Caenorhabditis elegans: one gene and its partner. The protein of the gene in region 1 interacts with the protein of each later gene in a pairwise test. Each region holds a gene or a part of one and is shown in the gene's direction. Other genes may lie near its edges. The genes, in order: ubc-8 and rnf-1.

Region 1 (9,197 bases):
GAGTCGTGTTCGTCCGATAATAATCAACGACCCAAATCAGTTGTGTGTTTACATCAATCTTCATGACGAAAAGAAACCAGAGAGCTCGAGCAAGTCGAAAAGTCCATTGAAAGATGGACCCGATTCCCAAAGAAGCAACATCCGTAGAAAGCTTACAACGCAAATGCAAAAGCAAGGCTGGGAATGTGAAGCTCACATTACCTCGTTCATTTTTTACAAGGACATGGCATCAGACGACAAAAAATCAGATCCAGTTGAAAAAGCTCTCAAAGAATCAGATCTAGTTGAAAAAGCTCACAAAGAAATATCTGTCGCGATTGAAGAAACAACGAAAACTTATGAGGGAGCACAATTTCAGTACGGAATTATGAGGCCACTTACGCGTATTAGAATGTTTGAAGCCCGCCAAACTGTTGAAGAGCAGCAAAACAAGGCTCATGAAGAAGGTATGAAGACCGAAATCAAGGAGGAAATCGTCGAGGAAGGCAGCCCGTTCAATTTGAATGATATGAAGAATAACCTTCCATCAACTTCTTCTTAATCCAGGTGCTTCGTAATAATAATTGATATTTTTTTGATTTTTGATTTTAATTGATTTTTCTGTGTTTCTTTTTTTAAACTAAACTTACAAGCATGTTTTGTTTAAGGTTTATTGGTTTAAATGAATATCTGAATGAAAAAAAAAATATGTGAATGAATAAATAATGTGAATGAAATATATTTAAATGAAATGAATATATTTAAATGAATATGTTAAAATTGAGAAATGTTTTGTCACTGGCTTTGGAAACAACATGAGCATACGGTATTCAATGGTTAGGAATATGGTCATACACTATTGTATTTTTTCTCGTCTCCCAGAGAGCGTGATAAATTATTAAATATGTATAACAAATTCCCATTCAAAAGTTTCTAGAATATTATTTGAATGAAAAGTTGTTTGGAATATTTGGGCTAGAATATATCCCTGCTATTTTTAATATTTCACATCGTTATTTGTCATTGAAATAACGTCAGAAAGTCCAAAATGGAGTAATCCTCTCATCATTTTTTTGACTATATCGAAAACATTATGATACATTTATAATATGAGAAAATCTTGAAAATGTCTTGATTGAGGTATTGTATTTCTTATATCTGAACTCCAACTGCTAAACATTATTTTTAAATTTCCGCCAATTGGATTTGTTCGGTGGAGCGTGCTTGCATTATTTTTATTTATTAATTATATTTACTCTCGTTATTTGACTGATTTTCTTAATTTTCTATGTTTTTTCATCGGAAAATGAAAGAAATAAACAAGACAAATGCAAAATGTTTGTTAAAAAGTAATTGAAAATGCACAAAACTATCAGATTTTGAGTTCCGACGGCAACAATCAGTCAAATAACGAGAATAAATAAAGATTAATTGATAAAAACAATGCAAGCACGCTCCACCGAACAACTCCAATTTGCGGAAATTCAAAAATAATTAGGGGGGAAAACTGTGATTTTATTTTTTTTTAATTTTTAAAAAATCATATAAAATCAGGGAAATTTTTTTGAATTTTTTTATCATGATATTCGGTCATTGTGGTACCATACGCGTGCTTTAAAGCAATTTCCCCACTGAGCGTAGTCCACCTTTAATGTATTTATTTTAAATAGAAAACATATTAAAACTAAATTTCTGAAAATGAGCAAAATGTGTTGTCAATCTAGAATACGTGCAAAATTGAACTTTTCTGCTTAACAAATCCCAAAATGTCTAGAAAAGCCGCGCAATATTCTCTAAAAGTTCATCGTTCTCTCCCCCCTCAGCTGTTTGTATGCCTACTGCGCGCCCATTCGTCTCCCCATGAAATCTCCGCGTCTCACGATCCCTCCTCTCTCGCTGCGCGTCTCCACAAAGTGCACACTCTCTCGCGTCTGTTGTCTCGTGTTTTCTTTTTCTCTGTCCTGTCTAACCCACTCTCTCACTTCCGTGTACTCTCTCTCGAGTCGCAAGACACGGCTGGCTGCCGGGGGGCGCACGCAGCACAAGACAACCAGCCGACGACGACCCGCGCCCCGATGATCATATGTTTTTCGTCCAGTTTTCCATCGATTTTCAACCGATTTTAAGCAGTGTTTTGCGCACTTTGAAGCGTGGATTCTGAGAGTGCTGTAGACTTGGATACTGCAGCTATACGTGGCAAAAATCCCGTGTAATTTGGAGCATTTTGAAGAGGGTTTACACCGGTTTAAAGTACTATCAGTTGTTTTTTTAGTTGTGTAGGGTTGTGAGGGGTACTGTAGCTAATTGATGATAACGGTACAGTAATCCTGAGTACTGTAGAAACACGTGGCAAAAATTTTGACCATTTTGGAGCATTTTGGAGCATTTTTACGGGGAGCTCATTGAAGTGTTTTGGTGTTGATAGGAGTGCTGTATCTAGGCTAGGGGTACTGTAGCTAACTCAAAAACAAAATACAGTAACCTGGGGTACTGTAGGAACAGATTCTGGAAGTTTGAGAAAATTTAAAGCATTTTGAATAGTTTTAACAGAACTTTTTATGAGTTCAATTGTTGTTTTTTTTAAATTTATTTTGATGCCATAAAGGGTACTGTAACTGGTCTAGGAGTATTCTAGCTACAGTAATATTGAAGTACGGTAACCTAGGGTACTGTAGCAACATTTTCTGAAAATTTGAGAAAACTTGAAGCATGTTTAATAGTTTTAACAGAGGTTTTTCTGAGCTCAATTGCTGCTTTTTCGTAGTCTTGATAGCATAAAGGGTACTGTATTTATGCTAGGAATGCTGTAGCTGACCCAAAATTTTAGTACAGTAACCTGGGGTACTGTAGGAACAGATTCTGGAAATTTGAGGAAACTTAAAGCATTTTGAATAGTTTTAACAGAACTTTTTATGAGTTTAATTGTTGTTTTTTGTAGTTTTCATGGCATAAAGGGTACTGTATCTAGGCTAGGGGTACTGTAGTTACATCAGTATCTGAGTACAGTAACCTAGGGTACTGTAACAACATTGTCTAAAAATTTTGAATATATTGGAATGTTTTGAACAATTTTACGGGATTTTTTTTGAGCCAATTGAATTTTTAAATGTGTTTCGGAAGCATTGTGCTTACTGTACCTAGTCTAGGAGTACTGTAGCTACATTAATATTTGAATACAGTAACCTGGGGTACTACTGTAGCAACATTTTCTATAAGTCTGGTGACATTTGGAGCAATTTGAGCGAGGTTAAGCCTGGTTTTGGCCTGAAACTTTATTTACGTGTTTCCGGGTTACAGTAGTCTACCGTATCTCAGGGGTACTGAGAAAATTTGTTCAAAGACTATTTTCAAGTCCATGTATGAAATTTTTTTCCTTTGACCAAAAAAAATTTCTTGAAATTTTTTCCAGAAATTTTTTTTCTATCTGAAAAAATCGATATTTTCAGACCCGATGACGTCAGCCACCGCAATCGGAAAACGCCGTATAGACTGTGACGTCGTTAAGCTGTAATTGAATTTTTCGGAAAATTCCAAAAAAATCGATATTTTGTTCCAGAATTTCCCACAACCATGAAGTTCAGATTGTGAATGGGTGCAGCGAGTTTATTGTCAGATTTCATGGGCCAAAAGATAGTACGTCATAAAATAGAGAAAAATTGAATATTTTTGGCAAAAAAATCAGAAAAAATGGCCCAAAAATGACTGAAATAGACTTGTTTTCGCGCAGTGGCCGAACTTTTGCTTTTTCTAGGCCACCAGTTGAAAAGTTAGTCCCCGAAATTTCGATGTGACAACTTAGATTCCTCGTAATACCTGGAAATCAGAAAAAAACAGCTGGGGACTAGTTTTTCACTTGGTGGCCTAGAAATCCAAATGTTCGGCCACCGATTTTCTAAATTTTTTTAAAATGATTTTCATCGTTTTCTAGGGTGGTTTTTGTGGTTTTAAACGGTTTTTCAATTCGAAAATTCGAAAATTTCGAGAGTTTTGCCCATTTTCCTCCAATTTTAGGAAACTTTTCCCCAAAAAACTTCAATTTCAGACAGGTTTTACCGATTTTTCGAACAAAAATTCTTGCAGCTGCCTACGAGAATGGTGTGTGGAGAATTCGTGTCGATATGCCGGACAAATACCCGTTCAAATCGCCGTCCATCGGGTTTTTGAACAAGATTTTCCACCCGAATATCGATGAAGCTTCGGGCACCGTATGCCTTGATGTCATAAATCAGGTAGGAATTGGTGGCCGAAGTGTGTGGAAAGTTAGTCCGTGACTATGTTCTTAGTCATTTTAAGTAATTTTAAGCAATTACCAGCCCGCGGACTAACTTTTCACTTGGTGGTCTAGAAATCCGAAAGTTAGGACGCCGATTTTTTTAATCGGATTTTCATTTTTTCTTCAGGCCTGGACAGCCCTCTACGATCTCACAAACATTTTCGATACCTTCCTGCCTCAACTTCTCACCTACCCGAATGCAGCAGACCCCTTGAACGGAGAAGCCGCCCGGTTATACATTCACAAGCCAGAGGAATACAGAAGAACGTGTAGAGGTGCGTTGGAACACTAAAAAATCAATATTTGCATTGAAAAAACCATGAAAATCGACCCAGAAAGAGCGGAAATGCGTTGATGGCCGAGTTTTGGGGTTCTAGGCCACTAGTTCATTTCTTTGAGTTTTTACTGTCATTTAGTATGTTTATAACACGATTTAGCTTTAAAAACCGGTTCACTTATACTGGGGGACTAGTTTTCCACTTGGTGGCCTAGAAATCCCAGAAACTAGGCCACCGTTATATTTTTCGATTTTTTTTTTGGGGGTTTCAGTTATTCTCTGTAGTTTATACGCTGAAAAACAGTTTTTCTAGAAAGAAGTCCACAAGAAAAACCAAAAAAAAATCGGTGGCCTAACTTTTGAAGAATTCGGATTTCTAGGCCACCTCGGGTATTATATTTTTTTTTCACGGTTTTAGTAGGCTTTCAACCCTGAAAAATAAGGGAACCAGAGGAAAAAAATAGATAAACACACGCTTCGAGCCCAGTTTGGAAGTTGGTGGCCTAGAAATCCAAAAGTTAGACCGCCAACTTTTTTTTACAATTTTGATTTTGATTTAACCATGTTCTAAGCTTATTTGTGTAAGGATCTCAATTTTCGCGAAAAAAATTTTTTTAGAGAAAAAAATGTTGATGGCCGAACTTTTGAATTTCTAGGCCACCTACTCGAAACTGGCCGTTTTATTTTATTTGGAGCTTTTTTTAATTCAAATTATTAAAGTATATTTTAATCCTTTTTTTTAATTCGGCAAAAAACAATCGGGGACTAGTTTTTCACTTGGTGGACTAGAAATTCTAAAAGTTAGGCCATCATTTTTTTTTTTGCTTTTTTTTTGCTTTCTGCGTACTTTTTACGGTTCTAAGTGGTTTTTGAGGTTGAAATTGCAAAATTTTAAGAGTTTGAGCGAATTTTTCCATGTTTTTAGCAATTTTTTGATCAAAAAAATGGAATTTTGCCGATTTTTATCGATTTTTTTAAATTTTTTTTTATTTTCAGAATACGTAATGCGATTTGCAAGTGAACACCGTGCCATAGAAGGATGCTCCCCGGGAAACGCCTATTCCATATCCTCAACACCCTCGGAGCACTACGATGGTCACCCGCAGGACGATGACGACGAAAGTTGTAGTTCAATGTCGGAATTTGATGAAAGTGAAGTGAACTTTGATGATTTTGATGCTGACGACACAATGACTGTAGATCAAATGGAATTTTAATGGGGGAAATATTCGGAAAACTTTTATTTTCCGCTTAAAATTCTTTTTTTTTTGTTCAATTTGTCCGATATTTCCCGTGAAAATTAAGTCAAAACTAGTTATAAATTGAGATTTTTGAGCAAAACTCACACTAGAATGATGCAAAAATTGATGATGGCCGAACTTTTCTGAAATTTTTTTTTTCTAGGCCACCAAGTGCAAATATTTATTTTCATCAATCTAGGGGTAAAAATGCTCGAAAATTTCAAATTTTCCACTCAAATCTCTTCATTTTTCCCATAAATCACCAATTTTTTTGACCTCAAGCCCCCCCCCCCCCCCAAATTTTCTCTTCAATTCCCCCCGAAATTCAGGATTTTTTTGTATTTTTTCCCAGTTTCTTCCTTCTTCGTGTGTCCATATCTTCGTTGCCCCCGTTTTTTTTCTCGTTGTCCTTACTCATTTCCTATGAGCACCTGTGTAGAATGTGTAGAAAATTGTAAATATTATCGATTTTTCCTTTTCGCGGACTGCCTTTCCCTGTTTTTTTCGCCCAGGTTTTCCTGTATTTTTGTGAATTTGTTTTTTTTTGGAATTTCTCGCTAGATTTTGTGTACATAATAAAGCTTTTTCATGAGAAAAACAGGCATTTTCAGAAAATTATTAATTACACACAGAAAAGCTGAATTTCCCCTTGGGGTACGGTCAACATTGCCTCTGACGCGCATTGTACGCAAACACGCCACCCCTCCAGAGTGCACACAATGCAGCGGAACCTACGCGCAAATGATTTTTTCAACGAAAAATTAAATTTTAAATTCAATTTCCGCCAATTTCCAACCGAATTTCTCGATTTTTCTTGTAAATTTTGATTTAAAATTTTAAAAATCACCTATTTCTTCATTATTCGTCAATTTCCGCGACAAATTTCCCGCTAAAAATCGATATTTTCGTTTCAGGGTAAAAATGGCGTCGGACGACGAGGAAGACTTCACTCAGCTGCAAATTAATCAGAATAGAAAGCATAAAAAGGCCGGAGGATGGCAACAAATCGGTTTGGACCATTCGGTTTACAAGGCGATCGAGAAAAAAGGCTTTAATCAGCCCACGCCGATTCAGGCAAGGATTTTCGCGAAAAATTAAGGAAATAATGGCTTTTTGTAGTGGGAAATGGAGTGAAAAATTGTGAAATTTTTGATTAAAAAGATTAGAAATTCTTTAAAATCAAAATTTCCCGCGAAAAATTTAAATTTTTGAAATCACTTAAATTTGACATAAAAATCGATTTCTCCACTATTTTACCAATAAAATAGTTTAAAATTTCAATTTTTAAAGCGAAATAAGCTTGAAAATCTGGTTTTTAGCCCTCAAAAACCCGCAAAATCCCATTTTCCCCAGAAAAAAGCCGGAAACCCCCAAATTTTCCAATTTTCAGCGCAAAACAATCCCGTGTATTATGGATGGAAAAGATGTGGTGGCCATGTCACGTACAGGATCCGGAAAAACCGCCGCTTTTGTGATTCCGATGCTCCAAAAGCTGAAAAGAAGAGATACGACTGGAATTCGGGCTCTTATGGTGTCTCCGACACGAGAATTGGCTCTTCAGACGTTTAAAGTCGTCAAAGAGGTGCGAAAATTGATGAAAATCGAGGAATTGGCTGGGAAATCTGGATTTTTACCGCGAAAAAATGCTCAAAAACTTTGTATTTTCACTTGAAAACTGATTTTTTTTCCGTTAAAAATCATTAAATCGGCTAAAAATTCATTTTTTTTCTGCCTAAAAATGTTGCTTTTTCACTTAAAAAGTGTGAATTTATGCCAAAAATCTCAAAAATTTAGCTGAAAACCCCGAATTTTCACTCAAAATTGCTCATTTTTCAGCTCGGCCGCTTCACAGGACTCCGTTGTGCTTGCCTTGTCGGAGGAGATCAAATTGAGGAGCAATTCTCCACAATTCACGAGAATCCCGACATGTTAGTGAGGATTTTTTCGACGAAAAAACGCCGAAATTTCGGTCATTTTGGCCCAAAAATCGAACAAATCCGATGGTTTTGCGCAGAAAATTGGACGGTTTTCAGCGTTTTTGACCCACAAAATGCAAAAAATTGCAATTTTTTAGGATTTATAGCTGAGAAGCCTAAAAATCCAAATTTTAAGCTTAAAAATCCAAATTTCAAGCCTAAAAATCCAAATTTGAAGCCTAGAAATTCAAATTTTAAGCCTAAAAATCCAAATTTTAAGCTTAGAAATCCAAATTTTAAGCTTCAAAATCCAAATTTTAGGCTTAAAAATGCAAATTTTAAGCTTAAAAATCCAAACTTTAAGCCTAAAAATCCAAATTTTAAGCTCAAATTTCCAAATTTTAAGCCAAAAAATCCAAATTTTAAGCCAAAAAATCCAAATTTAAAGCCTAAAAATCCAAATTTAAAGCCTAAAAATCCATATTTTAAGCTTAAAAATCCATATTTTAAGCTTAAAAATCCAAATTTTAAGCCTAAAAATCCAAATTTAAAGCCAAAAAATCCAAATTTAAAGCCTAAAAATCCAAACTTTAAGCCTAAAAATCCAAATTTTAAGCTTCCAAATCCAATTTTTAAGCTCAAAAATCCAAATTTTAAGCCTAAAAATCCAAATTTAAAGCCAAAAAATCCAAATTTAAAGCCTAAAAATCCAAACTTTAAGCCTAAAAATCCAAATTTTAAGCTTCCAAATCCAATTTTTAAGCTCAAAAATCCAAATTTTAAGCTTAAAAATCTAAATTTTAAGCCTAAAAATCCGAATTTTAAGCCTACAAATCCAGTTTTAAGCCAAAAAATCCAAATTTTAAGCTTAAAAATCTAAATTTTAAGCCTAAAAATCCGAATTTTAAGCCTACAAATCCAGTTTTAAGCCAAAAAATCCAAATTTAAAGCCTAAAAATCCAAATTTAAAGCCTAAAAATCCAATTTTTAAGCCCAAAAAACCCATAAAATCTAAAAATTTGCAGTCTTCTCGCCACTCCTGGCCGCCTTCTTCATGTTATCGTCGAGATGGATCTTCGTCTTTCATATGTTCAATATGTTGTATTTGATGAAGCCGATCGGCTCTTCGAAATGGGTTTTCAGGATCAATTGACGGTAAAAAGGCTGAAAATCTGAAAAATTGGCTGAAAATGCTCAAAAAATTGGATTTTTCGCACAAAAATCGCATTTTTAGCGTTAAAAATGGAATTTTTAAGTGAAAAAATACAGTTTTGACCCCAAAAAATACTGAAAATCATCTAAAAATCAATGTTTTAATCTGCAGTTTTCGCCGGAAAAAATCTTTTTACCTAGAAAAAATCTGGAAATTCGCTCAAAAATCGATATTTTGGCTTAAAAATCCAGTTTTTGGATCAAAAAATATCGAAAAACCACCCAAAAATTGATATTTTAATCAAAAATCCAGTTTTTAAACCAAAAAAAAAACTGGAAATCGCTTTAAAAATCGATAT
Region 2 (8,622 bases), on another chromosome or scaffold:
AAATAATAGTTGTCCACGCAGTCCAGTAAAACTTTCGATTGCATATTGGAGGATCCAGGCGTGGCGCTTCTTTTCTTGGAAAAATTGTCATTTTAAGATATGAATCGATGAGTTTAAATGGTTCTGTGATGCGAATTAATGGATTTGTGGTGATTTTTGGATGAAATAGAGCCGCCCGTTGAGTTAGAGCCGAGATCAGATCGATTTGTGATTTTTGTGGAAGTTGGGTGGTTTCTTCTCGGCAAATCTGGAAAAAATAAAAAATTTAAATTTATAGTTTTCGAAAAAAAACATTTCCAATATTTTATATCATCTTCTTTGTTTTGTAAATTTTCTGATTGTTTTAAACAAAAAAGTGTTCTAGAATTTAAAAAAGAAACATTTCAGACGTTCGGATTTTCAGAAACTTTTAATTAAAATTGCACGAAAAAGCTACTCTTTTGAAAACTCAAAAATTCTGAATGTTTGAAAAATTTCGTAGAAATAACAAACCAGTAAATTTAATGTCTTTCTAACTTAAGCAATTTTCTAATTAAAAAAAACAATAATTTTTTGATTTTTCCCTAAAAAAATGATTAAACGTTTATAAAAACCATTCAGTTCTTAATATCCTTACCATCAGAAGCATATTCTCCGAGACTCCACATTCTCCAAAAATTCGAATACAATTTGAAATTTCTGAATCTGTAACTGCAGCCATTTCAATTCCTGTATAGACATCTCTTTGTGTTTCAAGATACAAAAGAATCGAGAAACTTCGAATGAAAACTTGTTCATCAAAGAATAAATTTCTTGATTTCAATAATTGTTCAATCACTTTCTCGCAATATGAAATGAATTCACATTCAAATTTCTGACGAGCCAATCGTGCTTCTACGGGTATTAGAGGAACATCTCCAGTGCCTGTCGGAACACTGAATTTAATGGAAAATGCATTTTCACGAGTTGTGAGCAGTGAAGATATTGTTGCAAGCGGGAGTTGAGCAATTAGATCCACTGCGTAGCTGAGGATTTCGTCCTGAAATTAGATTTTCGGTTTTTTAAATAACGCTCGAACCAATTTCAAATGGAACATTGTGAAAACTATGTCATGTTTTTCTTCTGAATTACAGCAGTTTTTACCAAATTCGAAGCATCAAATTTAGCGAAAACTGCTGAAATGCAGAAAAAATAGACAACATTTTTGTAGCTTTTGGGGGGAAATTTCGAAAAATGACATGTCGGTTGAAATTTTCTTTATTATTTATTTCAAGGTTCCTGGATTAAAATCTAAATTTACCGGTTCTCCTCGCCGCTGAACTTTATTGAATAATGTCTCCGCAAACACTGAAAATGGGAAATCTCCGGATTTTGAGTGATAAAATCCACGAATGAGCTCTCGCATGAAAGCTCTGAGCATTTTCACGCAATTTTCCTTTTCTTTAAACAATTCCTTCGATATTATTACTGCTAGAGCTTTTGTGGCTTCTGTTGGTTGATTTTGAAGGATCATATAAATTGTTTGTAGATTGGTGGGAGATCTATTTTGTGCTGGTCCAGTTTCATTAATAAAAAGTGAATCCAATACAATTTCGACATTCCTTGACACCTCACAAATCGTTTTAATCGCTTGAGTGAATGGTCCAACCACAGTTCGTGTTTTCATATTTTTCGTGTTCAATTTCAGTAGAATATCGATGATTTCCTTGTCCAACTCGTGGTTTTCCGCGTTAATATTCGACCCGATCACTAGCAAAAGCTCACTGATTTCTCGATGGAATTTCTGAAGAGTTATCCAAATTTCCAGACGGTTCGCAATGAAAAGACGAATGTGCTCGTAGCCACAGAGAAGGCAGAGAGCACGGAAAAGAGGTTTTGGAAGAACTTCACCGCGAATTGTGTCGAACCAGGGCTTCAGGAATTCCAGAAAGACGTCTAACTGCTTTTGGTGAAGATTCGAGCGGGGACTGAAATCAAAAATGTATTAAAATTAAAATTTGACTTATTCTTTAAACTGTTTTTTTTATTTCCACTTTTCTAACACAGAATAAAAATTTCTTCTGAGATTTTGATAAACTTTAAATGCTTTTCAGCTAGTATTACACCGTTGTTTGTAGATGCTGCTTTTTGTTTCTGTTTAAATTAGGAAAAATATAAGCGAAATTTTTTCTAAAAAATCGTAAATTTATTACCTTTTTTCCCTCGACTTCCCCACTTTTTCAGAGAAGAAGCTCAAAAATTCGGAAATGGCAAAATTCTCAACCTGGCACTGCGCATACATTGCCGGAAATGGATAGACAGTTTCAAACGGATCCAAAATCATTTTCACAAGCTCTGCCGAGCACTCTTTTTCAATCCAGGAGCATCGATTCATTGTGCCGAGTCCAACGCTCATTCCAATAGAATCATGGAGAAATGCTGTTAGATAACATTTATCAAGAATTGGTTGTTGCCTTGCAAGTGAAGTGATTATTGAGATGAATAGTTCGAGAATATTGTCAGGATATGATCGAGAATTGCAAATTACGAAGAGCAGAGCGCGGTGGAGAGGAATTTGCTGAAAATTTTTCAATGATTAGAATTATTCTCCAAGTTTTTGTTAGATTTGAACCAACATTTAGCTTATCCCCATGATTTTTTACGGTTTCCGCAATTGTTCCCATTATTCTGAGCTCCACTTTCAACTTTTCTCCGACAAAGAAGCTCTTGAGCGCGGCGACGAACATTTTAGCGATTTTTGTAAAATGGCCCGCTAAAATCGCCTCCTGTACGCTTTTCTGGAAGGTTTCGATGTTTAAATTGATTGTATCTCCAAAATCTTTCCATTGATCATCGAGATTGGGGCGAACGAGATGGCTGGATTGTAGGGATGGATTTGCTGGAAATTTGTTTAATTATTAGGTGTTTTCTGGGAAAAATTGAAAATTTTTACCGGAATTACTTAGCGTTGGCTTTGGTGGAATACAAGTTTTTGATCTAAAATCCAACTTCGCTTTAACTCCTCCAGAAGTTGACGGTCCGCCAGTGCCTCCACTAGTCGTCGGGAGTTTATGGTTCAGTTTCGCCTTTTTCATGTCCTCCGGCTTCATAATCGTATCATTTAGGCGTTTGTGTTTTTTACGTTCCATTATTTATAAGATTCTAAACGAGAAACTCTTAAGATTTTCCGGAAAATAATGATAAAAACGGTTGTGAAATTGAATGAGAATAAAAAAACGAAACAAGCACGAGTGAGGCAGGTGCGCTCCAATGCGAATTTCTTTGCGCGGATGTTTAAATGGTTATTTTTTTATGGGAATCGACAAGTCACATGCTACGCTAGAGAGAGTTTTACATTTTACAGTCTTTTTGGAATTTAATAATATATATATTATCATAAAATCGAATAAAAATTGTTTCGAATAATGAATAGCTTTGTTTTTTCGTCTTGACTTCTGAAATAATTTTAAATTTGAGAAAAATTTGTGTCGCAATATATAATTATTAATATTATTAATAATGTAATTTTTTTATAATAAACTGATTTATATTTTAAAAACAAAAAAGGAATGACAATTCAGTTTAGTTTTATGAAAAACTTTGAAAAGACAAAAATAATTACAGTAAACGCGCTCCGCTAGACTCCCCAAATTTGTTTTTGTTTTCCAGGCTTGTGTCCAGGCAAATTCCAGCTTTCTTTTTGTTTCAGAATTTCTAGGTATTTATCTCCGTGAAAATGAGCGGTAAGATTGACAATCTCGAGTTTGTATTAAAATTTATTAAATTTCATTTCAGAAAAAAATACCGAAAATCCAGAAATTCTATCAACAGTCTTGGCTGGGTACTGCCAGTGCCAAGTCTGCTATCAGGTACTAATTTCCTAGTTTTACTCAATTTTCTACAAAATATGTTTGCAGCCTTTTAATGAAACCACAAAATTGGCTCGGTCCTTGCACTGTGGCCACACTTTCTGCACAGAATGCATCAGAAACGTGCAAAACTACGGTAATTCCCCACATTTAGAGTGCCCTACTTGCCGTGCGGAAACTAAAAGCAACATCGAAAATGTAGCACCAAATTTTTCAATTATGGGTAAGTTTTACCTCTTTTGAGTATTGAAATCCACGTTTTTTCTCAGAATTGGCAAGGAATTTCGGGCTTCTGGGTCCTCCAGTTGACGCTCCGCGAACTTCCTCTAGTTGCTGCTCAAATAAAACGAATAGAGATGAAATGATTGATAATAAATTCCGCGAGCTGCTTGTTGAAGTAAAAAGCAGTCTCATTCACCATTTTGACGTTTTCCGCATCAAATCACAGCTATGGAGTCTAGGCAAAGCCAAATGTGTATAAGTATTTTCTATAAAAACTGAATTTTTTCAGCAGAAGCCGAGCGAGAGGTCAGCAACATGGCTGAAGCCTTGGCAGGGGCTGTTTCTGAATGTTATTACGATTCTGACGACAATTCTGATGCGAATTCTGAGGATCAGCGAGTTCGAACTATGCTAAGGTTCTTGGCAGCAAGAGTTAGTTGATATTTTCCATGCTCCCTTGATTTGAAAATTTTCAGGACAGCGATTCTGAGACTACAGAAGACTCAACAGATTTTCTAGAATCAAATACTACTGTCCCGGACAGAACACTGGGTGGCGGTTTCTATCGCAATTTTCGTCGTCTTTTTGGAGACGTTAGTTTTCATCGAGTTAAACATTTAGAATAGAAAAAATCTTTCAGGAAAACGAACTAGATGATCCAGGTGTGGTTTCAGGTATTGAGGAGGCGGCCGCCTACCGACGTTTTCGAGGACTTTTTGGAAATGTAAGTGTCACTGTCGACAAGTTTATATTTTAGAAAAAATGTTTGCAGGACAACGACAGCATTTCGCAGGTTTCCACAACTTCCGGCAGTTTTGGGAATCATGAGAATGATCATTTTTGTCCGTTTTCCGATGACGTTAGTAGGACTTTGAATTCGATTGTTAATCTTTTTTCTAATTCAGGATAATATCTCCGAATGTTCCGATGACTACTATCCCACATTGGTTATGCCTGAAACAGATGAAGAGGAGACGTACAAAAGTTTTCGCTGCCTTTTTGGAGATGTATGTAAATTTATTGTCAGACGGCTATTTTTTAAACTAAAACAGCTGAAATTAAGAAAAAAATTCCAGGAAAACGGGAACCTCGACTTTTCCGACGACGAAAAAGAATTCTCCGACAATGAATCTTCACTCAGCTCAGTTTCCACTGAAGACTTTCCGAATTCGCACATAGAAGAAGCCGGCAGAGTTCTTCACAGATTTCTTCTGCTCTCTGCTCTTCTGAATGAAGAATAAATTACTATATAATTCAATTTTATCCCGTCTCCGCCTGAAATTTTTGTATTGTTTTACATGTTTTAATAGAGAAAATAAAGATCTCTTCTTGTTTTCCCCTGAAAAATCTGTGCGATTTCCTTTATTTTATTTTCGCTTTTGTTTCTCTTCAAAAGTGTTTTTTTTTCTCATTCAAAAATTCAGGACTTTCAAGGGAACCACATTTATTTGGAAAGGTCTCGCCGCGAAATCATAATTCAAACATGGTTGTTCATGTGCCTTTAAGATTACTGTAGAAAGTTTTGGAAGAAGTTTTGAATTTTTTTCTCCTTTCTTTCCCAAAAATCACCTACTTAATTTAGCATTTTCAGCCATAAATGTCCGCAACAAAAAGTGAAATGCCTGCGGATGTGGCATCTGTAACAGGTAATTTTTCGTTTTTATAAGATCTGGTTCCAAAATTCGAAAATTCCAGATAGTTCGGCTGCGTCGCCTGCATTCCCGCTGATAGGTGATTTTCTCGAGGAGTTTCTCAAATGCCAAGTCTGCTGCACTGTGAGTGCCCCACTTGTTTTATTGTTCAAAAATTAAACTTTCCAATTTAGAATTACAATGAGACGACAAAGCTGGCTCGTGGTTTGCATTGCGGACATACGTTCTGCACGGAATGTATCAAAACAATGCAAAAATACGGAAATTCGGCGTATTTGGAGTGCCCGTCGTGTCGCGCGGAGACTAAATGTGATATCGCGGCTGTTTCGACCAATTTTGCGATTATGGGTGAGTCAGGGAATGAAAAATCGGTTTCAATTCATTTATCGCAATTTTATAAATATTATGCAATGTATCCTTGCTTGTATTCTAAAACGAAATGTTCTAAAAGCTAATTTTCACTATTTTCTCCAGAATTGATTCGAAAATGTGGTTTCCTTGGACCGGAGAAGCCTGAAGAGCCGCCAATGAAACAAGCCGCCCAACCACAATTGGAGCAAACGATTGACGAGCTGATCGATGAAGGATATCGACTTTTGATTGCTGACGTGAAAGCGGATCTGATGGCAAAATTCGAGCAACTTCGCGATGTATCAAAAACTAGTACAATTGGTGAGGAAATTAAATACCTACCGATTTTTTGAAAAATAATGCTATTATCAGAAGCCACGAAGGCAGACCTCGAAGTTTTGTGCGATTCAGTGAAAGAAGCTGTATATGAAGCTGATTTGGAATATTCCTATGATGAAGAGGAATCAGATGAAGATGAAGAAGAGAATGAAGACGAAGAAGATGTCGAGGAGGAAGAAGAAAAGCCTTGCGCTGAAAAGAAAAGTCCTGCTCAGCCAGAACGAAGCTCGTCTCTCGTGCGAGGATTCCAGATCGGTCTCAGTCGGCTTTTCAGAAACGTAAATCATTTGCAGTGTTACGATTTTCCCGACTTAGATGCTCTGATATCTGAAACATTTTGCAATGTGACCAAAAGGAAAAACCATTTTTCGCTACCGCGTAGCAAATATATGATATCTGATTTTGAATGAAATTTTTCGATAACGCTAAAATCATTTTTACAGCGAAGAATTCACACGGAGCACCTTCAAGTCGACCACGGAGCGATCGCTACCAAATTGGAAACCAGAGCCGCTTGTACAGAAAAATCTGATAATGTGAAAAAATAAATATTGCTTGTAAATATCCAGTCATCGCTATTTTTAACTTATTTTCGAGATAACTTTTTGCATGTAAATAAATAATCGAAGACGGGCAATTATTGTTATTTCTCTTTTACCCGATTTCCTGAAAAATGATAAAGAGCAAGTTAGTGAATTCGTGTGTTTGGTCTTATTAACCGCCGCCGTATACTTCATTAATAATTTGTATATTTTTACACTTATATTTAGTCATTACGGTCCCATTTTCTATCAGTTAAACGAAATCCCCAAACGATTATACTCCATCTAAAATGTTAAACATGTTTTGCTGCAGCAAATACAATAATTTTATTCACAGAAAAAACCAAAAAACTTTCTTCGAAAAAATATTTTTTAAACAAAAGCAATGAAAAAGTTTGATGATAGAAATGGATCCAGCAACGAGAAGAAATTTTAGCTGTGTGTGCCTTTAAAGAAATGGTACGGTGTGAAATGGTCTCGCAGCGAACATGCTTCCGAGACATTAAAATGGACCGCCCAGTGTATTTGTTGTTATCTACTGGGTGGTCCATTCCCCCCAGATAGATAAAAATATATTTGCGATCTTATTATCGATTATTTCACCTGTATTAAATGTTTCTCCAACCTGAAATTTTCAGATTACTGCTGGCAATAAGAAAGGTAATAATATCAATGGTCTTAAGCATAGATGTACCACTCAAAGCGTCGGAAGAAGCTACTGTGAAATTCCTATTGTGAGAAAATGTGTCTTATGACATAATAACATAATAATACTGTTCTCTTGCAGAGAAATAGCTTTTGGATCTCAAAAGAAGCTCAATTTGCAATCAACTCGTCAGTGTTTAAGCCACGATGTTTTTCAAGTAAGTCAACTCATTCAATGGATTATTTTTTTTTTTATTTTATTCAAAAGGGGATTGGAAAAGATCAATAAAGTTAGGCTTCAGCATTTTTCTTCTGTTCGGTGGGATGCACGAAAGCTCCGTAGACTCTTTCATCTTCGCGTGGGATTACGGCAAGTAGGGGTGAGAATGCAATTTCGAGCATCTCACTGTCCACTTCTTCGACTGTATCCTGAAATGATTAGGTTTATATGTAGGCATTAGGCAGCCGTATAGGCAAAAAGTATTTTGTCACAAAGCATTTTACCTGACAATTATTGGTATCCGCATTTTCTCCTTGTGCAAACTGCCCACCCATCAATGCTCTCACATCAGCATGAGACATCAACTTTGTCAACTGAGCATTCTCCAAATACTCGGTTTTGTCATTGTTAATCTGAAAATTTCCCGGTGAATTAAAGAAAAGTTTTTAAAATGACCATGCTCACCGATAACTCTTGCTGATCAATTTGTCCGTACTTGAACTTGTACTTATTCTTCTTTCCAGATGTAGCACTACGAGGGTTGATGCTGAAATTGAGAATATGGCTTAGAATAATTGGCAGTAAAACTAGGAAAACTGGGAAAAGTTTTACCACAAAATTTAGGAGTGTGCTTAATTTTTATATTGTTTTTCTTAGTTCTGGAGCACACTCAGAGACAGTAAAACATTTTTTAAAAAACTAACGCAACACAATTTGGCCGATTGATAATCGGTTTCTTCTGTTCCACTTTCTTCTCAACCTTATCCTCCTCAACGACCTTCACTTCTTCTTTCTTTGTTTGATCTTTGACTGATTTGTTCTGC

What was found.
Region 2: the proteins of ubc-8 (region 1) and rnf-1 interact in a two-hybrid assay, tested with the Caenorhabditis elegans proteins (one study listed by BioGRID).

The regions. Positions count from the first base shown.
Region 1 is NC_003282.8:2,701,465-2,710,661, reverse strand, and holds ubc-8 (UBC core domain-containing protein), read left to right. Parts: upstream 1-3,423; 5' UTR 3,424-3,430; coding exon 3,431-3,486; intron 3,487-3,535; coding exon 3,536-3,612; intron 3,613-4,059; coding exon 4,060-4,208; intron 4,209-4,379; coding exon 4,380-4,527; intron 4,528-5,525; coding exon 5,526-5,746; 3' UTR 5,747-5,921; downstream 5,922-9,197. Other genes in the region: Y94H6A.10 (Ulp1 protease family, C-terminal catalytic domain containing protein), read left to right, coding at 1-541; Y94H6A.5 (RNA helicase), read left to right, coding at 6,692-6,844, 7,161-7,352, 7,607-7,698, 8,712-8,841.
Region 2 is NC_003279.8:6,006,543-6,015,164, reverse strand, and holds rnf-1 (RING-type domain-containing protein), read left to right. Parts: upstream 1-3,578; 5' UTR 3,579-3,694; coding exon 3,695-3,701; intron 3,702-3,753; coding exon 3,754-3,827; intron 3,828-3,875; coding exon 3,876-4,050; intron 4,051-4,096; coding exon 4,097-4,288; intron 4,289-4,338; coding exon 4,339-4,481; intron 4,482-4,525; coding exon 4,526-4,642; intron 4,643-4,689; coding exon 4,690-4,773; intron 4,774-4,821; coding exon 4,822-4,908; intron 4,909-4,954; coding exon 4,955-5,056; intron 5,057-5,125; coding exon 5,126-5,290; 3' UTR 5,291-5,383; downstream 5,384-8,622. Other genes in the region: ints-1 (Integrator complex subunit 1 RPB2-binding domain-containing protein), read right to left, coding at 1-247, 617-1,018, 1,280-1,946, 2,172-2,536, 2,595-2,857, 2,912-3,107; C06A5.8 (RING-type domain-containing protein), read left to right, coding at 5,647-5,695, 5,745-5,824, 5,875-6,049, 6,176-6,373, 6,425-6,669, 6,835-6,939; C06A5.2 (uncharacterized protein), read right to left, coding at 7,870-8,007, 8,083-8,211, 8,264-8,345, 8,503-8,622; C06A5.12 (LEM-like domain-containing protein), read left to right, coding at 7,606-7,667, 7,721-7,796.